3 linked regions of the Notamacropus eugenii genome follow. The protein of the gene in region 3 purifies or fractionates together with the protein of the main gene of each other region. This does not show direct contact. Links are inferred from orthologs where the notes say so. Each region holds a gene or a part of one and is shown on either strand. Other genes may lie near its edges.

Region 1 (7,514 bases), on a different chromosome or scaffold from region 3:
GTTCCTGAGTTAATGAATGGGCGGCAGAACCTTGGTGTGCTAACTGAAATGAGAGGATACTTGGCTACAAAAGGTTCTTTATTTGTAAAAAGCCAGGGAGGACACAACAGTTTATGGATCAGCTTTTTAGGCTCAAGGATCTGGGGGGAGCGGACTGCCTTCAGGGGCATCTGGACAGATACGCTTGAGAGGGGGTGCCCCCTCTGAGTCTTCAGTTTCCCCCACAGCTGCCTCAGGCACAGGGGGCACTGGTTCAAAGACTGGGTAAGCTTCAGGAACCTGGAGAGGAGGAACTGGGGATAAGTTCTCCTAGATCCCAAGGATCTTGCCCGCCCCCTCCAACCCCCAGTCCTTCCACATCCCTCATTCCCTACCGCTCCAAAGTCCAGCCTCCTCCAGCCTTTCTCACCTCTGCCTCCAATAACTCAGGCACAGGTTCTTCCTTAGTGAGCATTGGGGGTTCATCTGTCCCACCCATAGTCACACCCCCTGGATCTGGAATAACAAGAAAGCAGGTTACCCCAGGGAACAAGGAGCTAAAGATCACAGTGGGAAGCCAATGGAGGAGTTGTTTAGTTCTTACCTCTTTCCTGGCCCAGTCTTGGGGGCTGAACATCTTCAGAAGTCCCATCTGGTGGAGCAGCAGGTGAGGCTGGTCTGCTAGGCTGAGGCGTTCCCCCTGGGCTGGGCTCTGTGCCCTTCTGCAGGGAGCCCTCTGAGTGGAAGCTCTGATTGCTGTTCTCATCTGCTGGGAAAAGAGGCTGGGAGGGGTGGGCCTTGGGGTGCCTCTGCTTCCTCTACCTTAGGATCTCTTCTCCCTTCCCCCAACCTAAGACTTCCATTCTCCCACCCTCCAGACACCCCTACATACCACTGAGGTCAAGCAAGATGAGGGGACCACCCCCTCTTGGACTGGCTCCCCGACCCCTCCGTTCCCTGACTCGGGGCCTGTCAGCCCCACTTCCTGCCCGTCGACGTTCCTACAGAAAGGAAAAGGAGCAAGGTAGTTCGAGAGTGGTAGAGAAAAGATGAATGAATTAGTTGGGAGAGGGAGCAGGAAAGTTTCCCAAGAAAGGGAAAAGAGTCAGATCCTGAAGGAATTCAGCTCTTTTCAACAAACATTCATTAGGTACCTCCAGTGTTCTGGGAATTGTGCTAAGGTATGGAGGGAATAAAAAAAATTTTAATTGGAGACCAGCCCTCCAGGAGCTGCCCAGTTAAGGAAATGGGACACATGTAACATAATCCAAAGGAATATATAATCAATTCATTGCATACTTGTAAAGATTATTTTATGGGTTTGGGGAGAGGGAGAGTGCAGCTGTTACTGATAAAGCCAGGGAAGCTTTATGGTAGAGGTAATATTTGAGTTAGGCTTTTAAAATGGGTAAAAATTCAACAGGTGAGAAGGGGATGGAGACATTTTCAGGTGCAAGAAATTGGGGACAGAAAGCAATCTACTTTGGCTTAAGCGGTCAGTGAAGATGGAGGAAAGCTGTAGGGGGAAGTGTGCAAAGCTGGGTGATGCCTAGCTGTGGAGGGCCTTGAATGCCAGGCAAAAGAGCTTCGACCTTCAATGGATAGACAACAACAAGAAACCGTGGAAGATTTTGGGCAATGGAGTGGCATGACAAGATATGGCAAGCTGAGGGGTGGGGGTGGGGTGGGAAACATCTGGTAGCAATATGAAGGATAGATTTAGAGGCTATTGCAATAACCTAGGTGGATAATAATGAGAGCCTGCACTAGGGTGGTAGCAAGTAGAAATAGAAAGGAAAGTACAGATGCAAATGTTACTGCAGTGAAAAGATTCAGCAGAGCTTAGTAACATATAGGATATGAGAGTGAAGAATCCAATGTTTAGGGGAGACTGGGATACATGGTAGTGACACTGAAAAAAGACCAAGTAAAGGGGGGGAATCTGGTTTGGGGGAAAAGACTGATAATGTTACAAAGAAAAGAAAGAAAGGGAATAGTGGAGAAGGCAGTATGTCATAAGGGAAATAGAATTCTCTCACCTCCTCATGTGGGTCCACCACAGGCACCCACTTGTAGATACGGAGGGAAGTGTCTCCCACTGTCACCCAGCGTTTCTCCCTAGGGGTGATCCACAGAGCCAGGTCATGCAGAGCCAGAGATTCTCTCTCTCTCTCTCTCTCTCTCTCTCTCTGTCTCTCTTTCTCTCTCACTCTGTCTCTCTCTCTCTCACACACACACACACACACATCTCACCAACACATAAAAACACACAGTTCTATGGCACAGCTATCTTTGGAGAAGGGAAAAACAGCAGTCTAATTGGGATGGACCTAGATATCCAAAGCTTTGGAGGGTGGTCTGTCTGAAACCTTCATCCCACTGCTCTCACTCCATGTTATTACCCCACATCCCTTCCCTTCCTCCCTGTCTCAAACCCAAGCCTTCCAGTCCCTGGGCCTCCATTCTCACCATCTCCGGACCTTTTCGATGGTTGCCATCACCTTCTTGATGTCATCCTTGGCCCGGCTCCTGGTCTCAGCCCTCACCGTCCGGCCCGCCATGAGAACTGAGGTGTCGCTTCTCCCGAGGCCCACCTGGCTTGCACTAGGGATGCTTCCTGGACTCCCCAGACACCTCTGTCTGGGTCACTTGGTGCCCTTCTCCCCTGGAGCTCCCTCTCTGCCTTACTCAGTTCTCTCTTCCTCCTAAGCTATCCCTTTCTCCCCCTACCCCTTGCTCACTGGCTTCCTGTTTCCCCACTTCTCAATCTCCTCGTCGGTTTGATTCACTCCCTCTCTTTCTTTCCCTCTTGGTTTTCCATCCTGTCTTCCTGCTTTTAAAAACAAAAATGTTTTTTCTTTGCTCTCCTCCCTTCCCAGTGCTGTCTGTCGTCTTCGCTTTTCTCTGTGAGTCACTCTTCCTGCCTCCCTCACTGTCTCTCTTTCCCTTTCTTCGGCTCCCTGTCGTCAGTGTCTGTCTCCTTCCCTGTCACTTCTTTCTGGCTTCTCCTCTAAGCCCGCCCCTGCCCCAGCCGCCTTTTAGTTCTGCTCTGGCTTGGGGATTTCCCTGCTGCAGCCAGGAAACCAAGGAGCAGTAGTCCCCTGGACCAGACCCTCCGCCCCCTGTGCTGAGTTGTTTCCCCGCCCACTCTGGCTCCCCCACAGCGCCCCCTGCTCTCCAGAGACAGGACCAGGGCCTGGCCGTAGAGGCAGGGCCAGGGCTAGGGGCAGGGGGAAGGGGAGGTCCCTACTCGATTTCGTTTTAAGTTCCTTTGACTGCCCCCTTGTGCCTGTGGAGTTTCAGCCTCTATGTGCATGTGCGTGTATATGTGTATCAGTTGGCGATTATGTATCACTGTGGGCATTAATGCAATTGTATCAAACTGGGGTACTTGTATATCTTCTTCCCTAGCATGTTTGTGAAAGTCCTTCAGGAAACATGTCTCTCACTCTGCACAGCATCTGTGGGTGCTGGTTTAAGAGTCAGCAAGTGGGGTTGTGCCGTGGATCTAAGTGTTTGTGGATACCACTGTTTCATTCCTGGGCAGGCGCCCATAATATATCAGATATCCTTTTAAAATGTGTCTGTCTATCAGTTTGCTTTACTGTCTAATTGGTGAGATTGAGATGTGACTATCTGTTCAAGAATATGGTAGTAGATCTCTTGGTGTGTGTCTGCACATCCCTGTGACTATAATACATTTCCGGTGCCACCTTCTCCAACAACCTCGCAAATCTTTTCCCCTTCCTCCATCCACCCCCCAACTCCTGGGGGTAGTTCACTTGGTGTATCCCCAGGAAAGCTATCCAGTAGGTACATTCTTTGAATTCCAGGCATGCCAGTTCCCTCCCTGAACCCAGGAGTCCTCCTCTTCCTTCCCCCCAACCCCCACCCCAACTCCTAGCTTCTTTCCTCTCAACTGCCCTCTCAGAACTCTGACAGTCCCTGCCCCTTTGCTGTCTGGGTGACCTCATCAGCAAGGTGACAGTTCTCAATCCAATTCCTAGACTAGGAGAAAAGTTGAAGCTCTCTGGGAGGGAGCGCCCCAAGATCCTTATGGTTTTTATCTTCCCAAGACCTATATTCTCGCTCCCAGGCCTTTCTCCGCTCCTCAGGGCAGGGCTAAAAGGTGAGCTCAGGGCCCTGGAATCTGGGCTTGGGGTGAGGTGGGGGGAGTTTGGGGGTGGCCCCTGATTGGTTGATAGTGGACCACGCCCCCTACCCCCCTTTTCCCTCCCTTCTTCTTCTCTCTGGGAAGGGGAGGAGGGGGCATGTAGGGAACCGGGACCAGCCAGGGGACGGAGGGGGCCAACATGAGCCAGAGGGAGGGAAACAAGGGTAAGGGACTTCTGGGACTTGGAAAAATTGGGTCTAGAAGAGAAAGCTGGGAACTGGGCAAGACTGCAGGTTAATAGGAGGAGCAGGGTTCAGTCCTACAAGTTAGGTGCCTGGGGCTGTAATGTAATGTTTGTGTTCTGAAAAGGACAGCTTAGTGGCTAAACAGCCAAATGGATGGATTCTGAGAAAGGAAAGGGATCTGATTAAGAAAATGGGGAAGGACTTGGAGGAGGAAACTAAAAGGATAGGACTTGAAGTGGAAGTGGGGCTGTGGAAGTGAGATGTGGGCTCACCTTAACAACTTATATGTTGAAGAGGGGCAAAGAGTGTGGGGTTGAGAGTCTTTGGCAAAAATACCAGCCTCTGGCTGAAGTCTCATAGTTTGAATAGAGCAGGATGGTCAATTAATGACTGGGAGTGGGGGGGGGGGGCTGGGGGGGAGGGAAAGGAAGGAGATCGAGGTGGGGGAGGGTAGAATGCAAGGAAGCTCTTTGCTCTTTATAAAGGAGAACCAGAGCTAATTGATAAGCTACTCGAGTACTCAAGAGAGATAGGGTCTTGGGAAGAAAGTTGACGAGTGTGTGTGTGTGTGTGTGTGTGTGTGTGTGTGTGTGTGTGTGTGTGTGTGTGCGTGCGTGTGTGTGCGCGCGCGCGCGCGCGTGTGTGTGTGTGTGTGTGTGTGTGTGTGTGACAGAGAGAGAGAGAGAAAGAGAGAGAAAGAGAGAGAGAGAGAGAGAGAGAGAGAGAGAGCTGAACAGCAAAAGATGTGGTGATAGGTCTTTGGGGCCAGACATGGGTTAAAGAACTTGGTCACCTTTGCATGTCGCTTCCTTCTTACTAGTCCTCCCCCTACAATATTAAGCACCATGTGCCTAGCATCTGCCTAAGTTCTTTGCATCCTGGGAAATGTAGTTTTCTCCTAGTCAAGAGTAAAGTGAAGCCAGAATGTGTAGTCAAGTGTTTTCTATACCTGAGGTCTATGAACTTGTTTTGTTTTAATTTTTTGATAACTTTTGATATAATTAATTATCCATTTTATTGTATGAATTTAAAGATGTAATTCTGAGTAGGGGTCCATAGATTTTACCAGGCTGCCAAAAGAGTATGACATACAAAAAAGTTAGGAACTCCTGTCCTAGCATCTCCCCTTCTTGTCTTTGGTGATGTATACAGTGGGACTAGGTTATAAACTGTTAAGAATTAAAATTTTCTAATCCCTTAAGTAACTGAACTCCCAATTCAGAGGAGTCTAAGGCCAATTCAAGTTATTAATCAGTCAACTTGTCAGGATTTGAAACTGTAGTTGGTATTATCAAAGGGTACTCCAGGTATTATAACACATAATCACCTAGGAATTGTGATTATCTGCAATATAGTCATTCAAGTCTCCTGTCCAGGCCCCACACCTCCTTGCTTCCCTACCTCCAGCTCCTGTAGATCAATTTCTTCTTTCAGATAATTAGGGTAGGGGAAGATAGGACTACAGCCCCAATTGGTATAAGGTGAGAATGTGGAATCAAGCCACCAATAAGACACTAAAAATAGTATGTTATGGGAAGAAGGGAGATCTGTTATGTCAGGGGACCTGGGTTTTGATTCCTCCTCATCCTCCCCTGTCCCCTCCAGTGGACTTACAGTCCCATTCGGCCTCATCTTTCTCCCACCTTGAGGCCAAGATCCGTCAGACCCACAGTCTTGCAAGACTCCTCACTAGCTATGCTGAGCAGCTGCTTCAGGAATATGTGAGTACAGAGGTGGGAGGTGGTGGGGTGGAAAAGGGGATGGGGAAGAATGGGAAAGATTACTCTATACCCTTTGAATTATTCCATTTTAGGGGCAAGCCCTGGGAAGACCATCTAATCCAGCCCCACTATTACACAGAAGAAGAAGCTGAGAAGTGGATAGGACTTGCCCAGGGTCACACAGTGAATCAATGTTAGAAGTAGGATTAGAATCCAGGACCACGGATTCTCATTCTAGAGTTCTTGACAACAGACCAACCTTGGCTTTGTCTTAAAGGGTAGGCAGCTTCAGAATTAGAAATAAGAAAGATGAGAACTCATTCCCACATATGTAGAGGAAAATCCACCTCCTGTCAGCTTTCCATTCAGATCAAGCTGTTAATCACCAAAAGCTTTATGTTTCCATTGCCTAGCAGGCTCCCTTCCATCCCCCACCCTATCCCCCCACCCCCACCCCCCCTCCCACCTCACCCTCACCAGCCTTCTCTGACAAGCCGATGAGTGCTGATGAGACAGAAACATTAATACTGGCACAAATGAAACTGGTAGAAGGTAGGAGGGAAGTTTATGCCATGCATCGAAATTCAAATCCCCATGACCCATAGGCTATTGACTGTTAGATTATTACTGTTTAATACTATCTCTGCTACAGGACCTCCCCACTAACACTGGCTTGGAAAAACTACAGTGCAAGTGACAAAGTTCTATTTCTGTTTTTTTATACTTGTGTGACCTTGGGCAACTTATGCCTCAGTTCTATACCTCAGTTTCCTATAAAAATATTCCAGATTCTGTGATTCTAATTGGGATCCAACCCTACAAAGGGAAACATTTCTCTGGGAGGTAGAACAGAAGTTTTTCACCTGTAGAACTTTTGGCAGGTGGGGTGGGAAGGAAGAAAAATCTTGTGTTATTGATGAGAAGGATCAATTTCCCTAATGAGAACCAAGCAAAAAGAGCAAAGAGACCTCATAGGTCTCACCAAAGCTGGTAGAAAATAAGGCAATTTTATAGCATAAATGGTTCACATCCAGAGGAGTTGCTCTTGCCTGGGACTTTTATAGAAGACTGGGAATCTGTTGCCTTAAGTTGGATCCTCCAGGGAGGGTCTGTCCAAGGGGAAGAAAAGACTCCTCCTAACACCTCTCCCCACCCTTCCCTTACAGGTCCAGCACCAGGGGGACCCATTCGGGCTGCCCAGCTTCTCTCCCCCAGGGTTACCAGTTCCCGGGCTGAACTCCCCAGCCCCAACTCATTCAGGGCTCCCCACCCTTGAGAGGCTGCAGCTTGATGCAGCTGCCCTGAACTCACTGTCCCCACTACTGGACACCATCCGCCGGCTCCAGGCTGACCTCAACCCTTTTGCCCGTCGGCTCCTCCGGCGGCTAGAAGATGCCTCTCACCAGTCAAGGGCGCTGGGGAATGCTGTAGAGGTTGTTCTGGGGGCACTAGGTG
Region 2 (7,909 bases), on a different chromosome or scaffold from region 3:
GGACCAAAAAAATCCCAGAGGTTTTACCAAACTATCACACCTCCTAATAGGTTTCTCCACTCCCCTGCTCTAATCCAACTTTTGTACCAATCTTAGAGAGTCATTTTTACTTGTAGATCTGGTCAAATCTGGTGTTTGAGTAGTTTCCCCTACTCAAACACCAAGCAGAGATGCTTTCATGTCCACCAAGATATCCAAAGCCTTTCACAAGGAAGCCATATGACCTTTCCTGCCCCCTCCTACATTATTTCCCTCTATGGCCTCTCATCAGTTGTCTTGGCCAATTCTTTGCTCCCCAAACACACCCTGAAATCTTCTGCCTCCATGAATTTGCTCAAGCTGCTTCCTCTGCCTAGAACACTTTTCCTTTCCCTTTGCCTTTTGCTACCCAGTCTATTGCAATAGCTTTTGAAACCTCAAGGCTTCCAAAAAGGAAGCAAACCACTCAGTAAGGCTAAAGGAATAGATACGTATACATATACATATATACACACATGCACATGTATATACACACATATATGTATATACACATATATTTACACACACACACATACATACACGGAGTAGGAAAGAATTTGAAAGGTGGTCCCGTGAAGAGGCCTCACCCTGGCTTTGGCTTACATAGCCACAACTCTCCTAATCACTGGGAGATCAGAGTGCATTTAGGGTTAGACCTGGAATAGAACTTAGAGGCCAGAGGCCCAATTCTCTCATTTTACAGAGACTGGAAGTGATAAGCGATTAGAGCTGTGAAGATGGAAGGGACCTTAAAGGCCATCATGTCAATATCCTTATTTTACAAATAAGGGCCTGGAAACCAGAAAGAGTTGTGAACTGAATATAAACTTTGAAATCTGTAACCTTATCCATAATCCTTGAGAACTGGAACTATTATATCCAGTCAGCTGTGGATAGAGCGCCACCATTCCTATACCCAGGAAGACCTGAGTTCAAATTTGGCCTCAGATACTTACTAATTGTATGACCCTGGGCAAGGTATTCAATCTTCATTTGCCTCCCTTTCCTCATCTATAAAAATTTTGCATATGGATCATAATCTCACCTACCTCCCAAAGCTGTTGTGAGGATCAAATGAGATAATTGTAAAGTACTTAGCACAGTTCCTGGCACATAGTTAGCTCTATATAAATGTTAGCCATTAGTATTTTATTATTTTTGTATTCCTAGCACAGTGAGGCCTTAATTAATACTTGCTGATTGATTGATCAAGGTTAATGATAATATTAATTAATGATCAAATTTATCAATCAGTTAATTTAATCAGTTAATGATAAAGCTGGGATTTGATTATAAATCCTGCTTCTAAATATCACCGGTGCTTATTTCACTGTACCGCAGACATAGCTGGGATTTCTCTGCAGACCTCTCTTCCTCCTCAGTCCAACCTGGCCCCAAAGGTAGGGAGCTGACATTTCCAACACTGAGGTAGTGGGCCTATATCACACCTATACTAGGGACAGCCTCCACCCTTGTGCTACCCTAGTGGCAATGAAACTGAAACAGTCTGTACATTTCATTCAAAGTTTTGATTTGTTTCCTGCCTCTGATGTCACAGGCAGGGAGGGGCTGGGTACTGGCCAAGGGATGACTCCAGAGCCTACAGCAGGGGGCTGGGAGCTTAAAGAGCAGATTCAATTCCAGATATGGAGTGTTCTGGTAACAGGGCAGGTCAGAGGTGCCAGCCAGCAGGAGGGTGTGTGTTTCCATCAGGCAGCCTTCTTCAAGAAAGGCTAGATCTTGGTTTGTACTGCTGCATTACTTATTCCTTATATCTTGATTCAAATGCTCCCTCCTATAAAAAGCCCTTCCCTGATTCTCCTTTCTAACCCCCATCCCCACCCCCAAGCTTTCTCATTGGATGTCACATTGTACTTTATTTTGAACTGTATCATACACTTTCCATATATATAGACACATGTGTTGGTGTCTTAATCAGTCAAAAACAAATTTATTAAGCACTACACTAGAAATACTAAAATAAATGTGAAGAGCTCTTTTCTCAGGGTCCTTAACATTCTATGGGAAAAACACATCTAATCCCCCTGTTAGACTATAAGGTGGGGACATGAAGAGGTCTTGGCAATCATTTGGACCTGGGAATCAGATGGTGAGGGATCCAGGATGACTCCTAGGGTAGGAGCCTGAGGGCATGGGAGGAGGGTGATGCTCTTAAAGAGAGGTGGGGGGAAGGACATAGAGTTTGGGGGAAAGTTTTGGATATGTTGAGTTTAAGGTATCTACTGGGCATCTAGCTTGAGATGCCTGAAAAGCCAGTGGAGATTCGAGATTGGAGGTCAGCAGAGACTGGGGCAGGAAAGGTAGATTTGAGAATCCTTAGAGTAGAGATGTAAACCTCAGGAGACTTGCTAAACTAGGTTAAGGTAGATAACAGGCCCCAAACCTGTAGGTCAGTTAGAGGAATGTCTATCCCAAGCGCGAGAGGACCTCTCAGCAGAATGGGTGGATGAGAACAATGTGCACCAACATTGAAGATGCCCCCAGCTCATCCACTGCCTCTGGGGTCATCTCCAGTCACCTTGACTTTTGTCTTGTCACTGGGCTTTCATGAGGAGAGAATGAGGATGGTGACTTGGTGAAGCTCTGCCTCACTTAAAGTTCAATGCATGTGGGAGTCAAGACATCACCCTGTAAATGGAAAATGAAAGACAAACAAGAAGCTGCCTGAGGGCAGGGATGTCTTATGTAAACTTTGTATTTCCTCAGCCAGCACACCAAGGGCTTTAAAATGTTTGTTGAATGAATGAAAGAAGGCTGTTGAATGGGAAACAAGTCAGTCAACTAGCATTTATTATAGAAATATAAAAGACAGGGGCAGTTAGGTGGTGTGATGGATAGAATACCAGTCCTCGAGTCAGGAGAACCTGAGTTCAAATCTTGTCTCAGATATTTACTCGCTGTGTGACCCTGGGCAAGTCACTTCTTTGCCTGTTTCCTCATTTGAAAAAGGAAATGGCAAACCACTTTAGTATCTCTGCCAAAAAAAATGCAAATAGGGTCACAAAGATTTGGACATGACTGAAAAAACGACTGACCCATAAAAAGTTTGCCCCTTTGCAAGCAGCATTTCCTGGTCCTCCTTAATCTCAGTCCTTTTCCTCTGAGACTATACCCAATTGATACTGTATCTACCTTATTCCTACAGTTATTTTTATGTATGCTCCATTAGACTGGAAGATCCTTGAGGGACAGGACTTTCTTTGTCTCCCCACCCCAAATATTCACCCTCACTATCTGTGCCCAACATGTGATAGAACAATCCAAGCTGGTATTGGTCTGATCAGCCACAGTTCCACACACTGAAATTTCACTTTATCACCATAATGTCATTTTGGTCCTGTTGGAGAAGAAGGACAACAACCAACCAACCAACAGGAGAAAGAATGCTTACTTGATTGGAATCTCAGTTCTGTTTTTTATTAGCTATCTGATCTTCGGTAAATCCCAACTTTTTAGCTTGGTTTGGTCATCTGTAAAAAGAAGTTAATACTTGCAAAGGACCGTTGTTGGGAATATATTTTTTTGTTAGTTTTATCTTGTAGCTATGTTACATTGTAATATTTTCTTTAGTCAGGGTACTCCCTTCGTTGGAGCACTTTCCATCAAAGCAATTTGTCAACCCATCTGTAATTTAGGGTTAAAAGCACTCCAGGAGTGGAAACGTCCTACCAAGGCAGAAGGCTAATTTCTTTATAATTCTGTGTGTGGAGAGTTGCCTGGGGGCACAGAGAGACTGAACGCTGTGTCAGACGGTGTTAGAGGCAGGAGAATGGCTCTCAACCCACTGCTGTTTGGCTACATTATGACAATATACTATATACAATACGCTATACACGATATTCTGTAGATTATGGGTTTGCAGTTTCTTGAACTGAATAGGAATTTGCATGCGGTATGCAAAATAGTTGGAAGCCCCAAACCTGGAGGCCATTAAACAAATGCATAAATGAATGAACGTATAATTTTTAAAACATATAATTTAATATATTTTATATGTTTATAAATCTAAAAATATCCATATCCATCCACCTCCCACTACTCTAATGCCTGGAGGCATGGAGATGATCCTGGATTCCTGGAATAGGGGTGCCTAACGGAACTCCGGCCCGTTTAGGGTTGTAGGTAGGATTTTCTGGGAGGAAGAACCTCGAGGAGTCTGGGGAAGGGCTCTGGGGGATGGGCTGAGAGGCTGCTCCGCGGAGCCCACGGGCACCCAGAGGTCTCTGCACAGATTTGGGGAGGGGCGTCGGTGAACTTTTAAAAGTATTTTGCTGTTTATTTTGACAACCGCATTTAAATACTTTTTCTCTAGGTTTCTCTCGCCTTCGTACGCACTCGAAGTAGTTATACCAACAGTAGGATTCTGAGAACCCTGGAGTTCCAGCAGCTCAGGGAGGTTTTCAGGCGTGGGCCCTCCGAACAAAGTCAGCACCGCCTCCCACCTCGGGGCTCGGAACCCGGGGAGGGGCGGGGAGCAGCAGAAGCTCCAGGGCTGGCCTGAGGCTGCCTCCCAGCAGGTGGGTCCTCGTGCTTCTTTCCCCGCCCCCACTCAGAGGCACGTGCCAGACGCCTGGCTTGTGCACAAGCTCCTCCCCCTCCCGTCTTCCTCTCCCCAGGGGGCTCTGGGCTTTGCTCCGAGGACCAGGGGGGAGAGAGCAGGTGGGGGGGCGGAGTTTCCCGGGAGGGCCGCGCAGGCGCGCTGGGCCGGGCGCGAGCCCCGCGGGGCGCGCGCAGGAGGAGGGCGCGGAGGCGGAGGCAGAGGGGGGCGGGGAGGGCGGGGGCGGTGCCGGTGACGCGACTGTGGCAGCGGCGGGCGGGCGGTGGCGGCGCGTGTGGCGCGCGCTTCTCCGAGTCCTGGGAGCAGAGCCCCGGCCCCCGCCGCTCCCGCCGCCGCCATGTCGGGCCGGTCCGTCCGGGCCGAGACCCGCAGCCGGGCCAAAGACGACATCAAAAAGGTGATGGCCGCCATCGAGAAAGTGCGGAAATGGTGAGGAGCTGTCAAGGGGGAGAAAGGGGTGATGTATGTCGGGTGAGGGGGCCCGGTGCGCGGCCACAGCCGAGCCGGAGCGGGGTGGGTTAAGGGGTGGGAGCCGGCCGGCCGGCCGGCGCCGGGGGCGGGGGGCGGGGGGAAAGGGGAGGAAGGCGGAGCCATCTGCTGCTGCGCCTGCGCTGAGGAAAAGGACGCGCCGGCCTCAGCCAATCAGCGCGCTGCCGGTGTCCGGAGCCGCCCTCGCACGTGACTCTGGGCCCGCCCTCCCGGAGCCGGTGATTATTCTGACCGGAGCTGCTTGGGAAGCAGGTGCGTTCTGCGGAGGCTCCGGCTCTACTCTCTCCCAGGGCCGCGAGCCTCAGAGGCGGCCACGTCCGAAACTTTCCGGCAGATCTGCGTTCAAGGGCTGTGGACTGACCCACCTCGTGGCCCGCTCTGGCCTCCGGGGTGCCCTCCTCTTAACTCCGGTTATCCACGGCTTTCAGCTCCTGTGAAGTTAGACTATGTTAGGGCCCCTTTTAGGCTTCATCCCATCCTCGTAGGATGTTCTCCATAACCGGAATCAATCCTTCAAAACTCAATCACGAGGCGTTTTTCTGACGGCCTTTCCTGATCTCCCCACTTCTACCTAGCAGCCAGTGTCTGCCTACTGTTACTTTGTAACAATTACAATTACATTGTAACTTCCTTGAGAACAGGAGTTTCATGAAATCTTTGTATCCTTAGGGCTCAGTATTGCGGCTTAATTTTTGTTTCTAGCAAGACTTCAAATGCTTACAGCCTGCTAGATATTATGTTAAGCAGTGAAAAGACCCCCTCTCCCCCACCCCCACAAAAGTCCCTGACTTCAAGTTTATATTCTTTTGGAGAGAACATATAAGTACAAAATTAAATACAAAGTATCTACACAGTGACTTTCTCATGGAGGGTGTTAATAACTGATACAAGTAATATACAAAGGAACTTTCTCTTCACCTGGCTCCTGAAGGAATTGTACTATATGGCCTCTTTCTGCTTCAGTTCTAGGGTCCTTAGAAAAGCTTTTTGTAGGCGGTGTCACTTGCGTAGAGATTTGAAGTCTTTTCATTTGAAAATGTGGAAGCTGAGACTCAGGAAAACAGTATGAAACAGTGGAAAGAAGAAATCAGAGGACTCTACCTCAACTCCTGGCATTACCACTGTCTAGCTGTGTGACTTTGGGCAAGTAGAGGAAGTGTCTGGGCTTTGGATTCCTCATCAGTAAAATAAGAGGATTGGATTAATCGACCTGTCCTTTGTAGCCCTAGACTTGTGAAGGAGCAGCTCATGTTGGCACCTCTAAGCAGGGTCCTGTCTGAGCTCCAAACTTATTGTCCTGTGATTCTAAGCCACGTGCACATTCTACTGTGCCATGTTGATTCATGGTACTTACTATGTATCTCTCCTGAACTCTTCCTTGCACCCATCCAGTTCTTTGTGGATATCTTGATTTGGGAAATTTCTGAGAATAATCAATCAGTCTATTTCTTTTTATATCTTATTCCTGCTCAGAGATCTTGGACAGAGACTTAAATCATCTTATTACTGCTTAGAATCAAATAAGATTTTATTTTTTTTTCTATTCTTTTCTGAAGTATCTCTCATTGTGAAGTTGAGGGAAGTAACAGGTCAGCAAAAAGAAACTTTCTGTTATCCTCATGCCATCATCTCCTAACTTGTATTCTAAAAATATGTTAAAGGTGCTGGTGTTTGGAGCTACAAAGAGCCTCCTTTTGGCTTATCTTGATCTAGTTAGAGAACCTGGAGTCCTGAGACTTAATTATTTTCCTGACTTTACTAAGGATTTAATGAGTGACCATTAAGGTCACTTTCGTCTCATTGTTTCTCTCTTTTCTGATTGTAGGTTCCCTTCCCTACCAGCTCTCTTTTTCTCTTTTAAGAATGAGTTAACAAATGAGTTGTTTGTGATTCTTTGAACTCTTTGAGGTCAAGAAGTTATAAAGTCATAATTTTCAAACTAACTTAACAATCTTAACTTCATCCTAAAAAGGCCATCTCCCATCCCATCTAGCTAGTGGAGCCATGGTTTTCTTTTCTTTCTCTTTTTTGAACTATGTAGACATTTCTCTCATACATGAGACATGTAAATAAAATGTTGATATTTTGTTTCTTCTGTCCTGGGCAGTGAGTTTTGCTGCTTTTGGTTATATAATTGGGCAAAATAAGGGAAGAACTATACAGATCTTACCTTTTAGAACAGAAATTCTCCAACTAATTGAAAAACTCTTTCAAAATTTAATGAACTTAGGGGATCATAGCTCTAGAGTTGGGAGGGACCTTAGAGGCCATCTAGTCCACGCCTCTAGTTTTACAGATAATATAACTGGGGCCCAGAGTCTGGAGAAGGAAACTGGCCCAGGCCAAGATAGTAAGTATTAAAGGTAGGATTTGAATGCAAGTTTGCCTGACTCCAACACAACACTTAACTGTAGAATAAACATTTAGTCCAACTTGTGCTGGAGAAGACTCTCTCCAATATCCAAGAAGTGATTGCCTAGCCTCTGCTTGAAGACTTCTAGGAGAAGAGAATATATAGTGCCAGGCACTTTACAAGTGCTTTACAAGAATTGTTTTATTTATTTTATTTTATCCTGCCAACAACCCTGGAAAGTAGGTGCTGTTACTATTTCTGTTTTACAGTTGAGAAAACAGAGCTTAAATGTAAGTGTCTGAGGCCAGATTAGAGTTCAGTTCTTTCTAACTTCAAGCCCAGCACCCTGTGCATTGTGGTGCCCCCTGACTGCTGCTCATCTCCAACCTGCACTGCCCTAACTGATATCATGCTTAAATTTGCAAGTTGCACACTTTGTTCTTAGCCTCTCCTCCTCAGGACAGTCCTTC
Region 3 (7,838 bases):
GTTAGGCAGGCCGGCGGAGAGCATATTTCCCGAGAGCGCTAGGCCTGTCTCTCTCCAGCTTCTTCTTCCTCTTCCCTCCCTCTCATCATGTCATACCGATCAAACATGTCTGTGTGTGTATGTGTGTGCGTACGTGTGTGTGTTTCGCCGCTGTGACTTCCTGATTCCCCGAGGATTTCACACACATACACACACCACCACCACCACCACCACCACCACCACCAAACCTCGCCTCTTCCTCTCCAGGCACAGGCTGGGGAGGGAGGAAGAGGAGGAGGAGAAGAAGGAGAGAGGAGGAGGGAGTCTGCTTTCCTCCTGCTGCTCCTGACTCGCGCGCGCACACGCACGCACGCACACACACACACACACACACACACACACACACACACAACGCACTCGCGCATACACATACACACACACATACACACACACTCCAACCTAGAGCAAACTGTAATACTAGCTGCAAACCCCTCAGGCCCTCTCCACCGCTCTCTCCCTCCCCTTCCACCTTAGTTATCTACCCTGCCAAACTTTTCTGCCTTAGACCTCTCCAAACTTCCCTCCTGGGGTCTGGATGCGGCAGACCCCCCTCCGCCTCCAAAGCAACAGGGGCAAGTTCTGTGCCTCCCCCTCCCTGCCTTCCAACCACTATAAAAACAAATGAAAACAGGAGGACCGCGGTCTTCACCATCTCATCTAGGTAGTTGCACACTGGTTACAGCCAAGAAAAAGCTGGGGGAAAGCCGCAAGAAGCAATTTCCCCGCGTTTACCGGAAATCAACGAAGTCTTTGGGCCGGGAAGCGTTTAATGCACGGAGCTATCCATTTATCTTCCAGATGAAGCCAGGCATACACAGATGCGCTGGATGCAAGGCACCAGGCATGCCCGAACGTCCGACCCCGCTGTTCTGCACCCGGGAGGTGGCGGCGGCAGCGGCCCGGGGAGTGGACGGGGCCAAGTCAGGGACGAGCTGGACAGGCTATTTGGGGAAGTGAATCGCGACACCTTTGCAGTTCGCGTGACTGTGTTTTGCAAGGCAACCAGAAGGAGGAGAGGAGCTCTTGGCGCTGGGGGGGCGGGGGGCGGGAGGGGGGAGGAGGAGGGGAGGGGAGGAGGCAGAACCCAAACCAGATTCGATCAGAACCCTACAAAACTAAAAGACAAGGAACAAGAAGAGGCATTGGTGGTCAGGAGACTCTGGACCCTCTCCTACCAGGCAGCAACCTTCCCCTCGCCCTCCACCAATAAACCTTGCACTTGCGTGCCCCTGTGTGTGCGTATGTGTGTGAGTGTGTGTGCGTGTGTATGTGTGTAATGTTAGTGACAGTCAGACAGGGAGATTATCCGGATCATGGCCTCCTTGGCTCGGCTGGTTAACGCAGCCGCTGCTGCTGCAGCAGCCACTCACTCTTAACAAGCTCCATTTCTCCCCTTCTCACTCACTTGATTTCCCCATCCCATTCGCACCCCTGCCGCTGACCCTGAAAGGGATAGCTCAGCGCCCACTGCCCTAGAAAAAAAAAGGAGGGGGCAACCAGACCTCCTCCTTCTCTTTCTCCTCCTCTCCGTCCTCCTCCTTCGTGTCCTCCTTCTCCTCCTCCTCCTTTTCCTCCTCCTCTTCTTCTCCCCACCTCCACCCGCCCAGCTGCTAAGCCCGGGCCGGACACACTCAACTTCAACATTCAACACTCGGTGGCAGCCGCAGCGGCGGCGGCAGCCCGAGCACTCAGGCAGTAGCTGCCGCCGCCCCATGCATGCCCCCTCCAGACACAAGCACCAAACGAATCCTCCGTTGCTCCTGCCAGGCAGGCACTGGGGTGGGCACTCATTGGTGCACAGAGAGAGAAAACTGGGGAAGAAGAACACCGGGTGCGATTCTCCTGCAATCCTCTGTTCAAACCTCCCTCCCCTCCCACCACCACCACCACCACCACCACAGCCAGCAGCTACAGCACCACCATACAAGTCCAGGGGTCTGTCACCGTCGCAGGAAAGGGGGGTGGGGGGGAAGGTAAAAACACTCGAGTCCAACCTACCGGCCAGGTTCCTGCCGCCTCTGTTTGCTCCTGCCACCGCCGCCGCGGCTTCCCACCTTGGTCGCCCCCGCCGCCGCCGCCGCCACGGCGGAGCTGAGCCTCGGTTTCCCCGACTGTTGCTGCTTTCGATCTATTTCTGTCCGCGCCGCTGCCTGAGCTCCTGAACCAAGTCCCTGGGAGAAAGCAGCCAGGGGCTACCAGTGCTCTATGACAAGCTTTAGATTTTGCTCTCTCCTCCCCCTCCAACTGTTACTATGATGGTTTCTTATTATGAACTGTCGCGTTTCCATCCTCCCTCCTTCTTTCCCCTCCTCCCCCTCTTCCCCTCAGAGGTTTTTAATGGGGAGGGGGGGGATGCAACCTTGCCCATCTATGTGCGTTGTAGTGTGTGTGTGTGTGTGTGTGTGTGTGTGTGTGTGTTTGTTTTGCAACCTTGACTTGGCAGCGCGTCGGTGACTTGGTAGCCAGGTACAGGATTGTGTGGCTGCTTTTTGTTCTGATTCTCATGAAGTAGGCATGATTACTGTCATTATTAGAACCCCAATTCTCTTGGAAACTTTCCCTCGTCACCTCTTCTCCAACCACCCAGGTGTTGTGCTGTCTGTTCCTTATTCACCTGAGACCGGTGAGGAATGTTGTTGTTTTGTTTGTCGGCTGCTCCTCTTCTTCGCTTGTTTTGGTCTCTGTGCATGTACAATCAATAATAATTATGATCATAATGAATAAATCCTGGGGAAGGCTGAGTGTGCACGGGAGGTGGTTGTGCGACAGCAGCTGCTGCAGGAGCGGGGGGTGGGGGGGGTGGGGAGAAGGGAGTTGTAAGTTATATTTACCTTGCTTGTGAAGAGTATGCTGGATGGATCTTCTCCCTCTCTGAGTCACCCAGAGTACAGAAACAGAGCTAGAGAGAGGACTAGATTATGAATATGACTTCATTGATGACAGCCTTCCCCTCCTCTTCCTAAACTCGGGCCCCTCCTCCTTACTCCTCGCTAGGCCCACCCCCCTGACGCTAGAGGCTCCGGAAGCTTCTCTCCAGTTGGCTGGGCCCAGCGAGAATTCCTGCCCACCCCTGCCGGGGTTGGTGGACCTGTTCTGTCACTCGGCCCCCTTGGCTACTCCGGGAGTACCGGGAGGAGGGGGTGATGGTGTGGAAGAATGTGCCTTGAGAGACAGGTCTACTGTATGCGCGTATGCATGTGTGCCTGTAAAGGCTCCAGCCTTTGCTCCCTGTTTGTACATGGAACCACAGAAACTGCGCAGGACAGAGCAAGCCTGCCTGAGTTGGCTTGTGGATGTTCATGCTTTACTGCTGCCTTTTTCAACGATTGATTGTTGGAATGTCTTTCTACCCCCCACCCCCACCCCCCCTCCGGCTTGAAATTTTCCCCCTTCAGCGTCGTGTTGTTTTGGGGAAGAAGGCTCTGGAGACGTAACAAAAACGGAGGGTAGTAGTAGTAATAGCTTGTAGTAGTTTGGGGGGTATGGAAAGAAATTGCTGGCATTTAACTGTGCCAGCCATTGCCAGGTCGAGCCTGGAAAGGGGGAAAGGAGGGGGGAGGAGGAGATAGATTCGGAGTTGCACCAAAGGCTGGTTGTTACAAGGAAGGGATAGCCATTGTCAAGGCTGCAGAAACTTCCTCCCTCTCCCGCCCCACCCCCCCGGACTATAATTATAAATCTGCCTTTTTCCAGGAAGGGAGGAGGGTACAAAGAACATTGAGATCAAATCCGACTCTCCTTCCATTGAGTTGCACCTTTCCAAAAGTCATTGATCCCCCAAATCTGCAATCAGGCTATGAAGCTTATGGAGAAATAGGGACACCTCCACTCTGGGAATCGGAGATTGCTATCTTACCTTTCTTCTCCTATATTCCATAAGTAAAAAATAAATAAATTAATAAATACACACCAGTTCTGAGGTGAGGGGAATTGGGAGGGGGAAATAAGGAGTTGGGCCATTGAATCTCGTTTTGGTGGAAGCAAGGGAGTAAATCTGGTAACCTGCATTCACATTAATCTCTAAGTCTGCCTTCCTACACTTAAGAGGCAATTAAGATTTCAAACTAAATGCTCCTGGCACTTTAAAAAAAAAAAAAAACCCAGACCTCAGCTTATGGTGTTCCTTGAAATACAAGCACCTTAGGCCTACCAGGCCGTCAATATTTGCTGAGAGAAATATTTTTATGAACTGTGAAAGAACACATTGGAAGATTTTAAGTCAGGGGTCTGTTATTTTAGCCTCAGATTAATGTAGGTATTTGCCTTTAAAAATTAAAACTGTTCCTATGTGCTAGAGTTATGAAAAGTTTGATTTATCCCTTATTTTGCCATGCAACAGCCTAAATTAGTCATTGAAAGTGCATTGTGACTATTTTATAGAGAGTTTTCCCCCTAGAGTAAAATCCTATTTTAAGAGGCATTTTACTGTTGCAAAATTGACTCTATTTGAGCAAGTGTCTGAAATGTCGTTCTTGTAGTATGTTCAAAACAGCCAGCTGGAGAAGTTAAGAACCTGAAGCAATGGGAAGAACACAGAATGCTCCATATGGTCATTAAGTGACAGGTACTGTTTATGTTACTGGTCTATTACTGACCAAATTAGAATCTGTAATGACATGATTATAATGCCAGAGATACAATGTTACTTGTCACTGACACTGTAGTTTCCCAAGGTCTTTTTACTTGATCACCAACTTCAACATCATTTTCTGGCTATTCAAAATATGATAAAGGACAGTATTAAAGAGAATCAATTAAAATACGTAGTATGTCCCCATGCATCCAGTAAAATAAACTGATTTTTCTGCCCAAGGACATGCTGATATAATTATTAACCATCGAATCTCCAGCAAGAGACGCTGAGCAAATTTAGGTGCATAGTAAAATACAGTCAAAGGTATTTAACTGTTTCATAAATTACAACTAATAATAAAACTTAATAATTTGGTGGCCCATAACTGGGTTTTAATTTAATGAAGATTCTTGTTATAATGGATAATTTCTTAAGACCACATATTTTCCAATATTTTGGCATAAGAGATTGCACTTTATTCCTTCCTAGAAAAAAGAGCCCTTGGACCTCTTTGCCCTCTCCATTATAGTTAAGGCAATTTTCATGGAGAAACCAATCACCTTGGCAAAACATCTGTAGAAGGACTTTCCATTCCTTCTGGAATTTTTCCCGCTTTTGGGGGGAAAATGTCTGTATGGATATGTATGAGCATATGTGAGTATTCAATTACCCAATTTAATTAAATTTTAAGTGCTATGTGCAAGGCACTGAGTTTGGTACTGAGTATTCAATGGCAAAAATATAAAATCATATATGTATATATACATACATTTATGGATGCATACATGTATGTATGTAGACATATATGTATGGATGCATACCTTTATAGGTACAAATACATCATATGTAAAGATATGTGTCTATATATTATATGCACACACACACATATATATTCATATATACATACATGTTCAAATACCTTTCTACTTACTGACTTTGTTATTATTTAGACTTTACATTCTAGTCAAATGGGACTAATTGATATTCCCTGAATTGTTTTTTTCATTTCTTGCCTATGTGTCTTTGCACAGGCCCAGAAGGTACTCTAGGTATCTATGTGGCTCAGTGGCACTGAGCCTGGAGCCTGGAGTCAGCAAGACCTGAATTCAAATCCAGCCTTAGTTACTGGCTACCTGTGTGACTTTGGGCAAATCACTTAATATCTGTTTACCTAGGAGGCAGCTAAGTGGTTTAATGGACAGAGTTCTAGGTCTGGAGTCTGGAAGACTCATCTTTTTGAGTTCAAATCTGGCCTCAGATACATACTAACTGTGTGGCCTTGGGCAAGTCACTTAATTTCCATTTGCTTGAATCCACATGAGAAGGAAATGGCAAACCACTCCAGTATCTTTGCCAAGAAAACCCCAAGGACAGTATTGGTGTGCTATGGTCCACAGGGTAGACATGAATAAAGAACAAGAAGGTATTCTCTCATTTTTAGTTTCTTGGAATCTTACTTTTTCAAAGCGTTGTTCACATACCTCTTCTAAAGGAAGCCTGTTCTAATCCATCCACTTGCTAGTACTTTTTTACTTCTCAAATAAGTTGGTGTTTTCTTATCTATTTATATGCTGCATCCTGTATTAGAATGTAAGGTACTTGAGGGAAAGGAGTATTTTTAAGTTTAAATTTAAATTGTAAATTTTTGTAATTGAAACACACATATATCACACATACACACACATACACATAAATATACATGTGTGCATTTGTGTGTATGTGTATTGTCTCTAATGTATTATATAGTTTCCTCATCTAATTTATAGGATTTTGTATGCCTTTGTGCATAATTTATGAAGAAACTATGGAAATTTCAAAAGCATAGATAAAAAACAATATCAATCAGGAAAAACAATGTCAACATTATTTTCTCAACCACATATCCCTTTGTGCTTCCTAGGAAAATGACAATCTCCTTCCTTTGATTTCTTTAAATAGATCTTATGAAGGATTTTCATGTAAGTAACATGCAGTGTAACAGGCAGGAATCTCATCCAATATTGCTCGCCTGTTGTGGCTTAAACTTCTGAGAAATGAAATTGCATCCCCATCTATTTCAGATGTGAAGTAAATAACATGAAATTCAGCTTTCAGGAAAAAAGCAAAATTTAACAATTGATGTGAAGAATGGCTATGAGGGTTGCTTTTGTTTTGGAGAGAATCTCCCAAAAGCAGATATGGTCAAAGGCTGAAAGATCTCCAGGTTGTCAAACAGGATGTTAAATTCACGTGAAGCTTTTCCTTCTGGCCTTTGATGAGTCATTGTTTGGTCTCTGAAGCAGCAGCTTTTCACTTTCTACCTTGGAATCCAGAGACAGAGACCACCTCCTCATGTCTTTATTGACACATTCATTTGTTTGCGCCCAGTATATCACTAGAAGTTCTTCAAAAAGCAAATAGATGATTTAAAAATTGAAGTCTAGGGTCACAGTTGTTAAAAAGAGTAAGGATATGGAGCCAACAAACATTTCTAGACTTAAAGGGAAATTATTCCTCTGATTAAAATGTTGTCTAACTATGATGAAAAAGGAGTAAATACGGCCATACAGTAATGACTGTATGCTTTGTCTGTTGTAGATTACTATAGAAGATTTTAGAATTTTAGATTTTAAACTTAGCTACTACTGTTATTGTGGCTATAACACTATAGTTTAGCAAGAAGTAATCAATAAAGCTAAAATCAACTCAAGAGTTTCCAAAAGGATTCTTTCCAGCATTGATTAGGATGTTAATACCCAACACTATATGGATCACCATATTTTCAAAAAATTTAATTATTTTCTGGTGGTCAACTTTAGTATGGATGTTTTCTAGAAAGTAGCTTTCAGAGGTTTGCAAAGGGCTTCAGATGACAATTAGACTTAGGTCATTTGCATGGATCAATTTTGCAAAAGAGAACAGAGATTTACACAATTTTTAATGTAGCAATTGTATGTCGTATCATGGTCAACATAGAAGGGTCAGTAATGATAATAATTTAGTATACTTTTATCTGCTTCTCCCCTACTATCGTGATTCATTAACGTGAGGCATGTATTTTATCTAACTTATGAACCCTTAGAGAATTATTTGGTGGCAAGTCAAATGACTTGCTCATGGTCATATGGACAATATGTGTCAGAATTGGATCTTGAACTCACAATTTCTTGATTCCAAGGCAAGACCTCTCTCTGCCATAGCATCATTCTACTTCGTGCTTTTCCTTTAAGAATCTAGAAATGTGAAA

What was found. The genes of interacting proteins can lie anywhere in the genome.
Region 1: the proteins of SMARCA2 (region 3) and BCL7C purify together in Homo sapiens (affinity purification with mass spectrometry; 4 studies listed by BioGRID and IntAct, counting the BioPlex papers as one, with this or other methods). This does not show direct contact. The link is inferred for Notamacropus eugenii from reciprocal best matches to the Homo sapiens genes SMARCA2 and BCL7C.
Region 2: the proteins of SMARCA2 (region 3) and BCL7B purify together in Homo sapiens (affinity purification with mass spectrometry; 3 studies listed by BioGRID, with this or other methods). This does not show direct contact. The link is inferred for Notamacropus eugenii from reciprocal best matches to the Homo sapiens genes SMARCA2 and BCL7B.

The regions. Positions count from the first base shown.
Region 1 is NC_092874.1:377,801,178-377,808,691, reverse strand, and holds BCL7C (B-cell CLL/lymphoma 7 protein family member C), read right to left. Parts: upstream 3,095-7,514; 5' UTR 2,541-3,094; coding exon 2,449-2,540; intron 2,098-2,448; coding exon 2,019-2,097; intron 981-2,018; coding exon 872-980; intron 749-871; coding exon 584-748; intron 496-583; coding exon 410-495; intron 280-409; coding exon 133-279; 3' UTR 61-132; downstream 1-60. Other genes in the region: CTF1 (cardiotrophin-1), read left to right, coding at 4,036-4,108, 5,944-6,059, 7,226-7,514. UniProt on the Homo sapiens protein: May play an anti-apoptotic role.
Region 2 is NC_092873.1:50,364,909-50,372,817, forward strand, and holds the start of BCL7B (B-cell CLL/lymphoma 7 protein family member B), read left to right. Parts: upstream 1-4,815; 5' UTR 4,816-4,934; coding exon 4,935-5,026; intron 5,027-7,909. UniProt on the Homo sapiens protein: Positive regulator of apoptosis. Plays a role in the Wnt signaling pathway, negatively regulating the expression of Wnt signaling components CTNNB1 and HMGA1.
Region 3 is NC_092872.1:99,142,412-99,150,249, forward strand, and holds the start of SMARCA2 (probable global transcription activator SNF2L2), read right to left. Parts: upstream 3,044-7,838; 5' UTR 2,871-3,043; intron 2,721-2,870; 5' UTR 2,654-2,720; intron 2,427-2,653; exon of another isoform or gene 2,211-2,426; 5' UTR 2,038-2,210; intron 1,038-2,037; exon of another isoform or gene 772-1,037; intron 350-771; exon of another isoform or gene 1-349. UniProt on the Homo sapiens protein: ATPase involved in transcriptional activation and repression of select genes by chromatin remodeling (alteration of DNA-nucleosome topology).